Schizosaccharomyces pombe: one gene and its partner. Each later gene encodes a partner of the first gene's protein in a complex. Each region holds a gene or a part of one and is shown on either strand. Other genes may lie near its edges. The genes, in order: epl1 and mst1.

Region 1 (5,252 bases):
GAATCGACAAAAATTCGTTTCGGTCAATAGAGCCAGATTGGTTAGCATCTATTTTAATAAAACGCTTGCGAATTCTTTCTATCTCCTCATTGGAAACTAGATACAATGAACGTTAGCCGAGTCGCTTTGAGGTGCTAATACTTTTGCATTGTGCATGTGAAACCGGCAACTTTGATGAATTGGCTATAATCTTAAAAAGAAATAGACGACAAGAGATGTAAGTATTCTAACATGAAAAAATATAATGATAAGAACACTTTTGGCCACACGTACTAAGCATCAAACTTACAGGATGAATTTGAGATCAAGTCCTCAAAGATTTGCGACTGCGACTGACCCATGAGAGGGAAACACAATAATATGAAATGAGTAAGGTTCAATTAACAAACCAAGAATATAACGGTCAGCTACCTTTCAAAGAAAATTCCTTATATCGGTGGTGGTAGTTTGAGTCAAAATCCTTCTGAATGTAAGGGTCGAATGTCACTTGGCACACTTTGTCTTCCACCAATCTCAAAGATAATCGTGGAATCCGTAAATTTCAAAAAATGACTTGAAAACATGTTGGGTTGTGCAAAAAAATAGCTATGAAAATTATCTGTAAGCTTGTAATTGAAAATTCAACTGCAATGGCAGCTTTTCATTTTTAGAAAGGATGCATCAAACGAAAATCCGGCTTAAAAACGACAAAGAATTGAGGTTTAGAGCAATTCATAATTGCTTTGGAGATGGCTGTTTCTGCATCTTGGATTTTTAAAGGCGAGGTTTTGTAATTTTTCAAAACTAAATACCTTTAACCTTTATTCTTTCTGATGACCAAATTTTTTTTAAACTGCTTTAGCAGTTTTATGCTGATTAAGCTTTACCATATGAGCTTAAGATTATGAAGGAAGCAAAATCTGAGAATGAGCAATTTTTCGACATGTTTGGTAAGTATTTGAAAGGACTTTCGAATATTTGAAAGATTGCAATTCATGTTTTTAAATCAAATTTTAATCTTCCTGAAAAGGGCTTGGTTTCTGGAAAAAGCAAATGTGGAACGTTGAAAATGTTTGTCTACAACTTGCTTCGTTTTGAAAAAGACATTCATTTTTCTCACCCTATACTATGCGCAGTTGGCATAGATAATTGATGAGATACGGAAAACATCTTCGTTAGTGGAAAAAAATGTAGAATTTATTCCGCTGTTTACTTCTATGTTCCACCTGGCTCTGCTGCGAACAGTTTATTATTCTAACAGAAATGCCTATTCATGGTCTATAACACGCATTGAAAGTAAAAATCAAGTGCTTTTTTCTGCTACTAGAGACTACGAATACTAGCAGATCATGACTTTTCTTTTGAATTAGTAATGCTTTTTTTCTATTGAGTATTGACGAGGGTTTTCCGACGTCAATAAGATGAACTATGATAGAACTTGATTCCTTATAATTCACTATGGAGTTTTATGGACTTCACTTCAACTGATGGTTGACAATTTCCTCTTTTGTTTCTCCTGCCATCGGTTTCTTCCATTGTTTACACCTGGAATCTCCAGTAAATATCGCTACAATACGTTGTATATTAACGGTACGAGCGTATTAGAAAATTATTTTTGGTTACGTTGCTCCTCGGTAAATTATCGCAGTGAAGAGGTTTATGAAAAATTTCATTCGGTTTGTTAACCCCTAGTGGTTTGACACACCAACGACGACGGCCGTCAACTACGCCAGGATTTAGCGCCTGTTTCTACAAGATTTTGAGTGAGACGAGTATCTTATAATTTTACGGTTGGATAGATTTAAGTGATTGGAGTCCAACGATACCAATATTATCATGAGTTCCGTCTCCAAAAATGCTAGGGCATATCGTCAACGGAAGGTCGGTATTAAAACCGTTATGCCGATTTATTTCGAACGTGATATACCTGACTTTGATGAAGAAGCTTCACTTCAGCGGACAGTTCCCTTGGTGGAATCTGGTGTTGAAAAAGAAGAGGAAGAGGTAAGTGCGAACCCGAGAATGTGAAAGATAATGAAAAGTACGAAAAACCTTGGCTTCTTGATGGATTTCGTTGACAAAAATAAACACTCTTTTTAAAGGTGCTTAATCACCGTTTTACAATGTATACGAAGGGTTATGCGGAAAATTATGATTTGAGCGGAGTTGCATCGAATTTCTGAATTTTTTAAACTTGCTAGTTTGTTTGTGTTAAAGTTACTCTTGTAAAGATTAGTAAACTGAGAATTAAAAGTTACTTGAAAAATATTGATGCTCCTTCTTTCACGAATTTTGAGGTTTTTTTTTTTTTTTCAACGGATTCATTGAACCTTTTTAGTTTTTATTCTAAATTTGATTTTACTGAGAAAAGATTGCTACTTCATTATTGTGGCTAATGAATGTTTTGGGTTATGTTTCTAGCAATGCTTATTTATTTGATTATTTATTGTTTTTGGAATACAGCTGTCCTTTTTCTTATCGCTTTTCATTCATCTTCGATTACTTAGATTTCTAACAATTTATAGGAAAAACATTTGCAACAAGTCATCAATGAAGCCCATGAGGCCATTGTGCGTGGATCTGAAAAAAAGCTTATTATCCCTACACGGGAGGCTAAAAATATAGGTATAATTGACAAATATTACAAAAAGAATTTCATTCTTCCTAAGACATTAATTCGGTTTTCTCTCACTGTGGAAGAATGTACAAACCCAGAATATTGCATGGATGAACATGATACGGAATATTTTCTGAAGTTGAAACAGGCTCAACCTTCTCTTTCCAAATTTTCTGAATTAGATTTTGAAATTGTCATGCAGACGTTTGAAGAGGAAATTAATCAAAATCAGCCTTTTTTGAGCATGGATACCTCTCAAATATTGCCTTTGTCTGAGCTCATCACCTCCTTCGAGTTAAAAGATGTACTGTACTTGAAACCACTAGCTAGTCAAGTATACCCTTATTGGCGTGAGCGTCGTATCAGTAAGGGTGGTCTTCCAATTATGGCTAAAGCACAAGTTGGCGATGATAAGGATGATGATGATCCATATGTTTGTTTTCGTCGTCGTGAAATTCGACAGGCTCGCAAAACTCGTCGGTCGGACGCTCAGTCTTATGATCGCTTACGGAGGTTACGACAAAGCATGGAGACAAGTCTTCAGTTACTGGAACAAGTGTACAAACGTGAGCAAAAGAAGCTGCAAGCGCTTGAAGACGACTATGCTATTTTCCAGAAGCGCTGTCTTGTCAAAAAGCTTAAACGTACTCTAAATATAAAAGACAGTGATGAACTTTTAATCAATCCTAAACGACGTCCTATTGAGGTAAAGCCCGCCGCCCCTGTACCTACTCCAGCTCCACCTGTAAAAACTTCTCCTCACCCTGCTTCCTATCGCCCACAACCTACGCGAAATGTCGAAGTTCGACCGTTATTAATGCTTGATGATGTTCAATCAGCCCAAATTACACAATTTCAGATTCGTCTTCAGCAACGTCTTACCAAGAAGGAACAGCTCGATCGTAATTGGGTTGACCTTTTGGAGACGCCTAGTACCGTTATTCATACTAATTATCCCGATTCGTTTTACCGAAACATTATTCCATATTATTCAGGAAAAGAAACGAAACAATCCCATAATCAACTGAGTATTCCTTCCTCAACCCCTTCGACTCCATTATCTGATAATGGACCCACCTACTCTACACCTCACTCTTCCCTATCTAATTTTAATACGTGCGATTCACTTTCATTCTCTTCAAATAACTCTTTATACGGCTATAGCACTTTATTACATCCCAGAAATCCCATCTGCGTTCGACAACGAATAGGACGTGGAGGGCGTTTGATGTTGGATCGCACTCGTGCATTGCCAGTACATCGGTTGAGTAAACCAAAATCTCGTGTTGAAGATCGATGGCTTTTTGACATTCCCTTTGATGCCGATGACACAATTATACTCGATGATGAATCTGATGCTTCTATAATGTTTCGAGCTAGCTTGCTAAACGATGATATGGGTACTCAGTCATAAAACGCTTTTTATCTATGGTATTTATAATATTTCCATTACTAAAGATTTCGATCAAATTTTATTTTAACTATTTCTCCTCGACTAGCTTATTTAAGATTTTGATTGATTTCTTGAAGGGATTTGGGGTATAATCTATTTTTCTCTTTAGAAAAATAGTGTTTATTCATTTTTATGATTTTTGTTTGTCCAAATAAAAAATTTAATAGGGGGAATTGACTTGAAAGCATAGTCAGCTTTTTTTTTGGCTCACAAGATTTGATTTTGCTTCTACAGTCCAACCCTGGTTTTATGCATGCATAGATTCTTTATCGTCGCTAATTTATTTGATACTGTACTAGTTGAATCGGTGAATTGTTACAAAATTTTTGGTGATCCCGCTTTTTTAGACTTGCATGTGGTTAATGACTTTTTTAATGACATTCAATTCATTGTTCAGCTTTTTTAATTTAGCATATAATAAATATACGATGTACGAAGTTTATGTCTTAACGACTTATCGAATTCGTATTCAAATTGAATACATTTTTAGCTTTTTAAGTAGTTTTGGAAAAATTTCAGACTAAGTCATTGCGTTGGGTTGTTGATTATATATTTATTGGTTTCTTTCCTTTTTGTTCTATAACCATTTACTTTAGTTCTCTGAGCTTATTTTTTAGAAAATCATCCACTAACTATATGTCTCTCTCATTGCTACAAGATACAATAGCAAATATGAAGAAGAGTCATATCGAATTTATAATGCTCACTCTTAGTTTCCATAGTATGTGTTAATAAGGCGTACTTCTAGCAATTATGATTGCAGTAGGAGATTTAGAAATTATCGACTTAATTGAATATCAATAACCTTTATCTTTTTATTGTTGTTACTTTCAATTATAAAAAACTTGAAACAACTTTTTTAACTGAACTGACAAATTTTAGGTTCATCATAACGACTTTGGGGATTCAATTAAAGTCATTAAGTATATGAATGATTAATAGATTTACTGTTTAGCTTTTATGAAAATAAAAAACTAGTAATACTCACATGCATACTATTCACTTCATTGTTTACACTTAACTATTTACCAACAACTTCTTTAGTCACGTAAACTTCAACACTACCAAACGAAGATATAAAACATCTGCAATAATAAATCAGTCAAGGTACTAATTGATATATTGCTTTGGTAATATTACCAATTAAACATTCTTTTATATTTTAAATTTTAAAACAACACTCTTAACAGCCGCTCGATTCCA
Region 2 (6,273 bases), on another chromosome or scaffold:
ACAAACCCTTGCTGGCGAGTGGACCGGATACGCAAAGCGTGAGCCGGAATTTATTCATGGCTCTGTTCCCCCCCGCAGCGTTGATGCTATAAAATATCCTGGTAAGAATGACCAACCCACTGTACCTATCATGGCTGGTTATTTAATTCGTAAAACAAGTTTTTTAAAGAAAAAACAAAGAGGTTTTTATGCCTTTACACATTCTGGCTATCTTTACGAATTTAAATCTTCTGATTCACTTCAAGATCCTGAACCCGAATTCGCCCTTTACATACCTGATTGTCTGATCGGTCGCCCTTCTGAGAAGAAACCCAAGTTTAAAATAACTGGCAAGGATGCTACTAAGAAAATTTTTGGCGCGCGAAACGATTACGCGTTTCGCGCTTCTAACAACACCGAACTAATGAGATGGTGGGAAGCGTTGAATACCCATATTGCTAATGTGAACTATATACAACCTTTAAGCAACGCAAATGGTCCATCAGCTGTTTCCGACAGTGATGATGATGATGATGATCCAAATGACTTCCGTCCAGCCGTCGAGCGTCAAAGTTCTACGATGAATACCCGTATGTCGCAACCAAGCTCTGCTGTCAATACAAATCGAAGTTATGGTTCGGAACAAATTCCCTCATACGCAGATAGCCAAGGAAATTCTGGCGCCAACAACAACTTTATTTACAACGCTAGTGCTACTGGTCATAATGCTTGGAATGTATAAAGATTGTATATTCGCAAATTAGGTACGAAATGTGCTCATGTATATTTGTTACACTGCCGTTGTGTTTTAAATGGCAGTCTTTGTAACTCCCCCATACCCGTCTTAATTGTATCTTTTTGATTCCCGTTTAAAGCACTTGAATGTTGATTGTGAACCATTTTACTGTTACTGTAATGAATTCATGATAGTGTTTCTTGATATATAGTGAACTTTTGAAACACCAGTCAACAAATATATAGGTATTATATATAAACTCAGAATAAATACATTTTCTGTTCACCCATACCTGTGGCTGATGACTGTTTCAATCGGGAAAGTTACTTTTTAATGTAGCAGGTTTCATTCCGATATATCTCAACCGCTCGTTTCATGTTTATTAATTTAGCAGCTGGGATGATGGTATATACCTTGTAAATAAAGTGCCTAACATACTTTTATTGGTTTTTGTGAATTAGCTGAGCGCGTTAGTGAAGTAAATTCCCTTAATTATGAAAAGTACTTCTATTATTCCTTATTGGCATTATTCTTTTAATTGGAAACGGAAAACTGAAGAATTGTATTACTGTTTATAGCATTTTCGGTACTTTCTGGACAAATTTCGAATATACTCGTGTTCAAACCCGAGAAAAATATTTTCTAGATTTTTATATTATCAAAGAACACTAATTTTAATTGAGCATTTCAGGATTTTTGAAGTTGATCGTTTAATTTATCACAGCTATCTTGATATGTGTAAAATGAAAGTATTTATTACTCTTTTCATCCTTTCAAAAATTTTATTAATTAATTTACTTTCTATTGGAAACGAAAAGGTTAGCATCGTTTGCTGTAAGCGCAGGTTGAGAATAATTACGTCGATGCTATAATAACGAGCGAAACTCTAACTTTAAAAATCATCTCGCTTAATGAATTTCAAGGTAGCAAAGATTGTAAATTCGTCGAAATTTGCTAAACAATTTAATTTAAAGCAGTAAAGTTCACAAAAAACATACCGACATTTAACGAATCGGTAAAGAAATGTTTTCGAAACTAGCAAAACTCACCACCATGAAAAAAAAATTTTCAGGGTGGCTACACAATTTGTACATGGAATAAGTATCCACTTATTGAGACTCAAGATGTCGAATGATGTTGATGATGAGTCCAAGATTGAAACAAAGTCTTATGAGGCTAAAGACATAGTTTATAAATCCAAAGTCTTTGCATTTAAGGATGGAGAATATCGAAAGGCGGAGATTTTAATGATTCAAAAAAGAACTAGAGGCGTCGTCTACTATGTACACTATAATGACTACAATAAACGTTTAGATGAATGGATTACAATAGATAATATTGATTTATCGAAAGGAATTGAGTATCCACCGCCGGAGAAGCCAAAAAAGGCTCATGGAAAAGGAAAATCCTCAAAACGTCCAAAAGCTGTTGACAGACGACGATCGATTACAGCACCTTCAAAAACTGAGCCTTCGACGCCTTCTACGGAGAAACCTGAACCATCCACCCCTTCTGGAGAAAGTGATCATGGATCAAATGCCGGGAATGAAAGTTTACCGTTATTGGAGGAAGACCACAAGCCCGAAAGTCTTTCAAAAGAACAAGAAGTAGAAAGGTTACGGTTCAGTGGCTCAATGGTTCAAAATCCTCACGAAATAGCTCGAATTCGTAATATAAACAAAATTTGCATAGGAGATCATGAAATTGAACCTTGGTACTTCTCACCGTACCCTAAAGAATTTTCGGAAGTAGATATAGTTTATATTTGCAGTTTTTGTTTCTGCTATTACGGATCTGAGCGACAATTTCAAAGACACCGCGAAAAATGTACATTGCAGCATCCACCCGGAAATGAAATATACCGTGATGACTATATATCCTTTTTTGAAATTGATGGAAGAAAGCAACGTACATGGTGTAGGAATATTTGTCTTTTGTCCAAACTTTTTCTGGATCACAAAATGCTTTACTATGATGTTGATCCCTTTTTGTTTTACTGTATGTGTCGCCGCGATGAATATGGATGTCACTTGGTAGGATATTTCTCAAAAGAAAAAGAGTCCTCCGAAAATTACAACCTTGCTTGTATCTTAACTTTACCTCAATACCAAAGACATGGTTATGGCAAGTTACTCATACAATTTTCTTATGAATTGACCAAGCGTGAGCACAAACACGGCTCACCTGAAAAACCACTTTCTGATTTGGGGTTGATTAGTTATCGAGCGTATTGGGCTGAACAAATCATCAACCTTGTGCTTGGAATGCGAACTGAAACCACTATTGACGAATTAGCCAACAAAACTTCAATGACTACTAATGATGTGCTACATACACTTCAAGCACTAAATATGCTTAAATATTACAAAGGTCAATTTATTATCTGTATTTCAGATGGAATTGAGCAACAATACGAAAGATTGAAGAACAAAAAAAGAAGAAGGATCAATGGAGATTTGTTGGCAGATTGGCAACCTCCTGTTTTTCACCCTTCCCAACTACGATTTGGATGGTAATTCTGTACAAAGAATGGATTAGATGCTGGTCGTCTTTCTTAAAAAAAAAAAAAATTCTCATAATTAAAGTATCTCCTAGATATATATTAATGATACTTAAAGTTTGAAGGAATAGAGACTAATTTGTAACCTTTTATTTCATTTTAGTTACTTTTGTAATTTCGATATTCCTTTGATTAGAAAAGCCTCTGCTATTGCCTTGGTTTTTTCGGCTGCTCCATTTTGCAGGATAGCTGGATATCGTATACTAGCCCACATGTATGCTACTATTAATTTGTGAAGCTGCTCTAGTTGTTGTAACTCGGTTTCAGTGGTTGGAATTCCGCGTTCTAATATTTCCAAAGGTACAGACTTCAAATCATATATTTGCAGACGTTTTCCTTGAGCGATAACACATCCGATTTCCCGAATAAATAGTGGTGCGTATTTAGAATGCTTTAACACTGGGCACCCTAACAATTTGATTTTATCTTTAATGGTTAAACCTTTTATGTGGTCTAAATATTCAATAATGAATGTGCTTAGTGCTCCTTCCGACACAACAAATGGAGTAGTCGTTTTCGCTAACTTAAAGTAACGATCGAAAATTAGCTTTTGAGGAATGTCATCAGAGAATAGTGATAAATATCTAAAGAATAAATCGTCCTTAGCTCCAATACAAGCATTGAATAAGTTCTTTGTAGGAAGATTCATGGCGCGATTTAATTTCGCAAAATCTTTTTGATATAGGGTAGTTACTATTCCAGCACTTTGCTTAGATCCATTGGGATTATGTCGGCCAGCTCTTCCTGCTATCTGCTTAATTTGTGGTACAGGGATGTCTATAGTGGAAACTCCACTAAACTTTTTTAAATCGCTGAAAACAATACGCTTTACGCCTAAGTTGAGACCCATACCAATGGCATCGGAGGCCAGCAAAATATTTTCATCAGAACTCTTTGAATTAAATAAGCTTGCTTGTTGATTACGGACTTCAGGAGGCAGTGAACCATAAATAACGGCAGATTTTTTTCCTAATGCTTGATCAATTTTAGACTTCAAAGTAAAAATGTTTTTCCTTGAAAAAGCCACAACACAATCCCCGTCTTTGAGTTCACTTAACTTTCCATTTAAGCTCTTTTCTGCAACGTGGAGAGGATTTAACCGTTCGTATCTGTAAACAGTAAAATCATCTTGGGTCATTTTAGCAATTGAACGCACTAATTTAACAACACTTTCTTCTCCGCATAAATGAATTTCCTTAGCCTGCAAGCCAAGCAAGCATTGAGTCCAAGCATATCCCCGTGAAGGATCAGCCATCATTTGGATTTCATCAATGACTGCAACATCAAAAGTAGTAGATAAGTTGCACATTTCTACAGTACATGAAACAACCTGAGGGAAAGGATAATCATTTCTAATCTCTTCCCCTGTGTAAAGATTACAAGCTATTCCGTTTGCTTGCAAGCGATTATAGATTTCGTGAGCCAAAAGTCTTAAAGGGCCAGCAAATATACCTTTCTTGCAAGTCTTAAGTCTTTCTAAAGCCCTATGTGTTTTCCCGCTATTCGTTGGGCCGACATGCATAATGATATGCCTTCTGAGTTTTCTCGCTCCTGGATACCACTCAATTGGATTTTTTAAATCTGTTAATTGCTTTTGTAAGTCAGGTCTTGTTTCTTCTATTCGCTCTTGATATCGTACATACTTCCGATACTCTGAGAGTAAACAATCATGGATCTTTTTTATTTTCTGAAGGTCAAAAGTAGAAGAAGATTTTGAAAGAGCCAATGATTTATCAGAGTTTTTTAAGTCAGAAAATCCTAAATCTGTAAGGATATTCTTTTTTAACTCATAATAGTATACATTCTGAAAGACACTGGCATCCTTGCAGACATTGACAAAGTCTTGGGCTAAGTATGCTTGTTTTGACGAAAGTTCTTTGGAAGCAAATAAATATGCAGTGAAGCGATTGAGGGCAGCAGCCCACAAGGTATTTCCTGGGAATTTCCTTTGTTGAAAAACATCCTTTGATAAAGTGTGAATTCTAGCAGACTTGCTAAAAAACGGTACACAAAACGTTACGCCATGAATCAAAGTTTCCAAAAACATTCCTGGCGAGTTAAAATCTTTCTAGCAATGCTCTATTGCTGGCCGCCCTGTAACCAGAGCAAAACTTAATCCAAGTATTTAAAGTAATTTAAAAACAAGAAATGTTTATATAGAAAATTAAATACTTCTCAAACGTCTGAAGGTCCCTGGCTTTATCGCTTTTAAAAATATTACCTTCTATTAATTAAAAAAGGAAAAAAAAAGTAATAATTTGACTACGAGATTCAGTCAAGTTGCCTGCTGAGGCCTCTAATATGTTATACCAACAGCTCTGCATGTATCTCCAAAAAATTAGTATCTCAGCAGTACCCTTTAAATTCCAGTTTTCCGCTTCAGTAAATATATAAAATTTTTTAAAAAGCGTTTATTACCTACACTTGTATTATAACAATTTCACGCATTTGGTGTTGGCTTTCGATTATTTACGCGTGCTGTAAGAAATTAGAGAACCTGTGGATTCGAACAGGAAATGAATTGTGTATCACCATGTTTTTCGATGTTTCATTTTGTGATGCGTTACATATCGTTATCCGAGAATGACTAGAGAAGGTGAGTAGTAATACCTTGTCTAGTTCACTTTGCAACACATCTTCTGTAATCTACCAAGCGTTCTTTCAAATTTCTTCGCATTAAGTTTTAAATTATAGGTCTTCAAGATGGTGTTAGAAGCAACGATGATTCTGTAAGAATTTATTTTTGTTAAATTATTGCTCTAACATGGCAGAATTGATAATTCAGAATGGATGATTAATGGTGATTATATACCTACGAGGTTTGAAGCTCAAAAGGATACTGTACATATGATTTTCAATCAAAAGATCAATGATAATCCGGAGAACATGTGTGGTTTAATGACAATTGGTGATAATAGGTATATGATTAATATTACGGCTTGAACGGTACTTTATGTTCAGCTATAAAATACTTTACAGAAATTCTAATCATATTAGT

The links.
Region 2: epl1 (region 1) and mst1 share a complex: the UniProt entries of both Schizosaccharomyces pombe proteins name them as parts of the nuA4 histone acetyltransferase complex.

Annotation. Positions count from the first base shown.
Region 1 is NC_003421.2:2,187,293-2,192,544, reverse strand, and holds epl1 (NuA4 histone acetyltransferase core complex-Piccolo HAT module linker protein Epl1), read left to right. Parts: upstream 1-1,669; 5' UTR 1,670-1,815; coding exon 1,816-1,983; exon of another isoform or gene 1,984-2,190; intron 2,191-2,504; coding exon 2,505-4,010; 3' UTR 4,011-4,462; downstream 4,463-5,252. Other genes in the region: cnb1 (calcineurin regulatory subunit B), read right to left, coding at 1-96, 290-341. UniProt on the Schizosaccharomyces pombe protein: Component of the NuA4 histone acetyltransferase complex which is involved in transcriptional activation of selected genes principally by acetylation of nucleosomal histone H4 and H2A. The NuA4 complex is also involved in DNA repair.
Region 2 is NC_003424.3:4,558,342-4,564,614, reverse strand, and holds mst1 (histone acetyltransferase, KAT5 family Mst1), read left to right. Parts: upstream 1-1,785; 5' UTR 1,786-1,839; coding exon 1,840-3,231; 3' UTR 3,232-3,378; coding exon of another isoform or gene 3,379-5,322; 3' UTR 5,323-5,514; downstream 5,515-6,273. Other genes in the region: slm1 (cytoskeletal signaling protein), read left to right, coding at 1-721; ATP-dependent RNA helicase Rpm2, read right to left, coding at 3,379-5,322; 19S proteasome regulatory subunit Rpn10, read left to right, coding at 5,979-6,004, 6,047-6,193, 6,273-6,273. UniProt on the Schizosaccharomyces pombe protein: Catalytic component of the NuA4 histone acetyltransferase (HAT) complex which is involved in epigenetic transcriptional activation of selected genes principally by acetylation of nucleosomal histones H4, H3, H2B, H2A and H2A variant H2A.Z.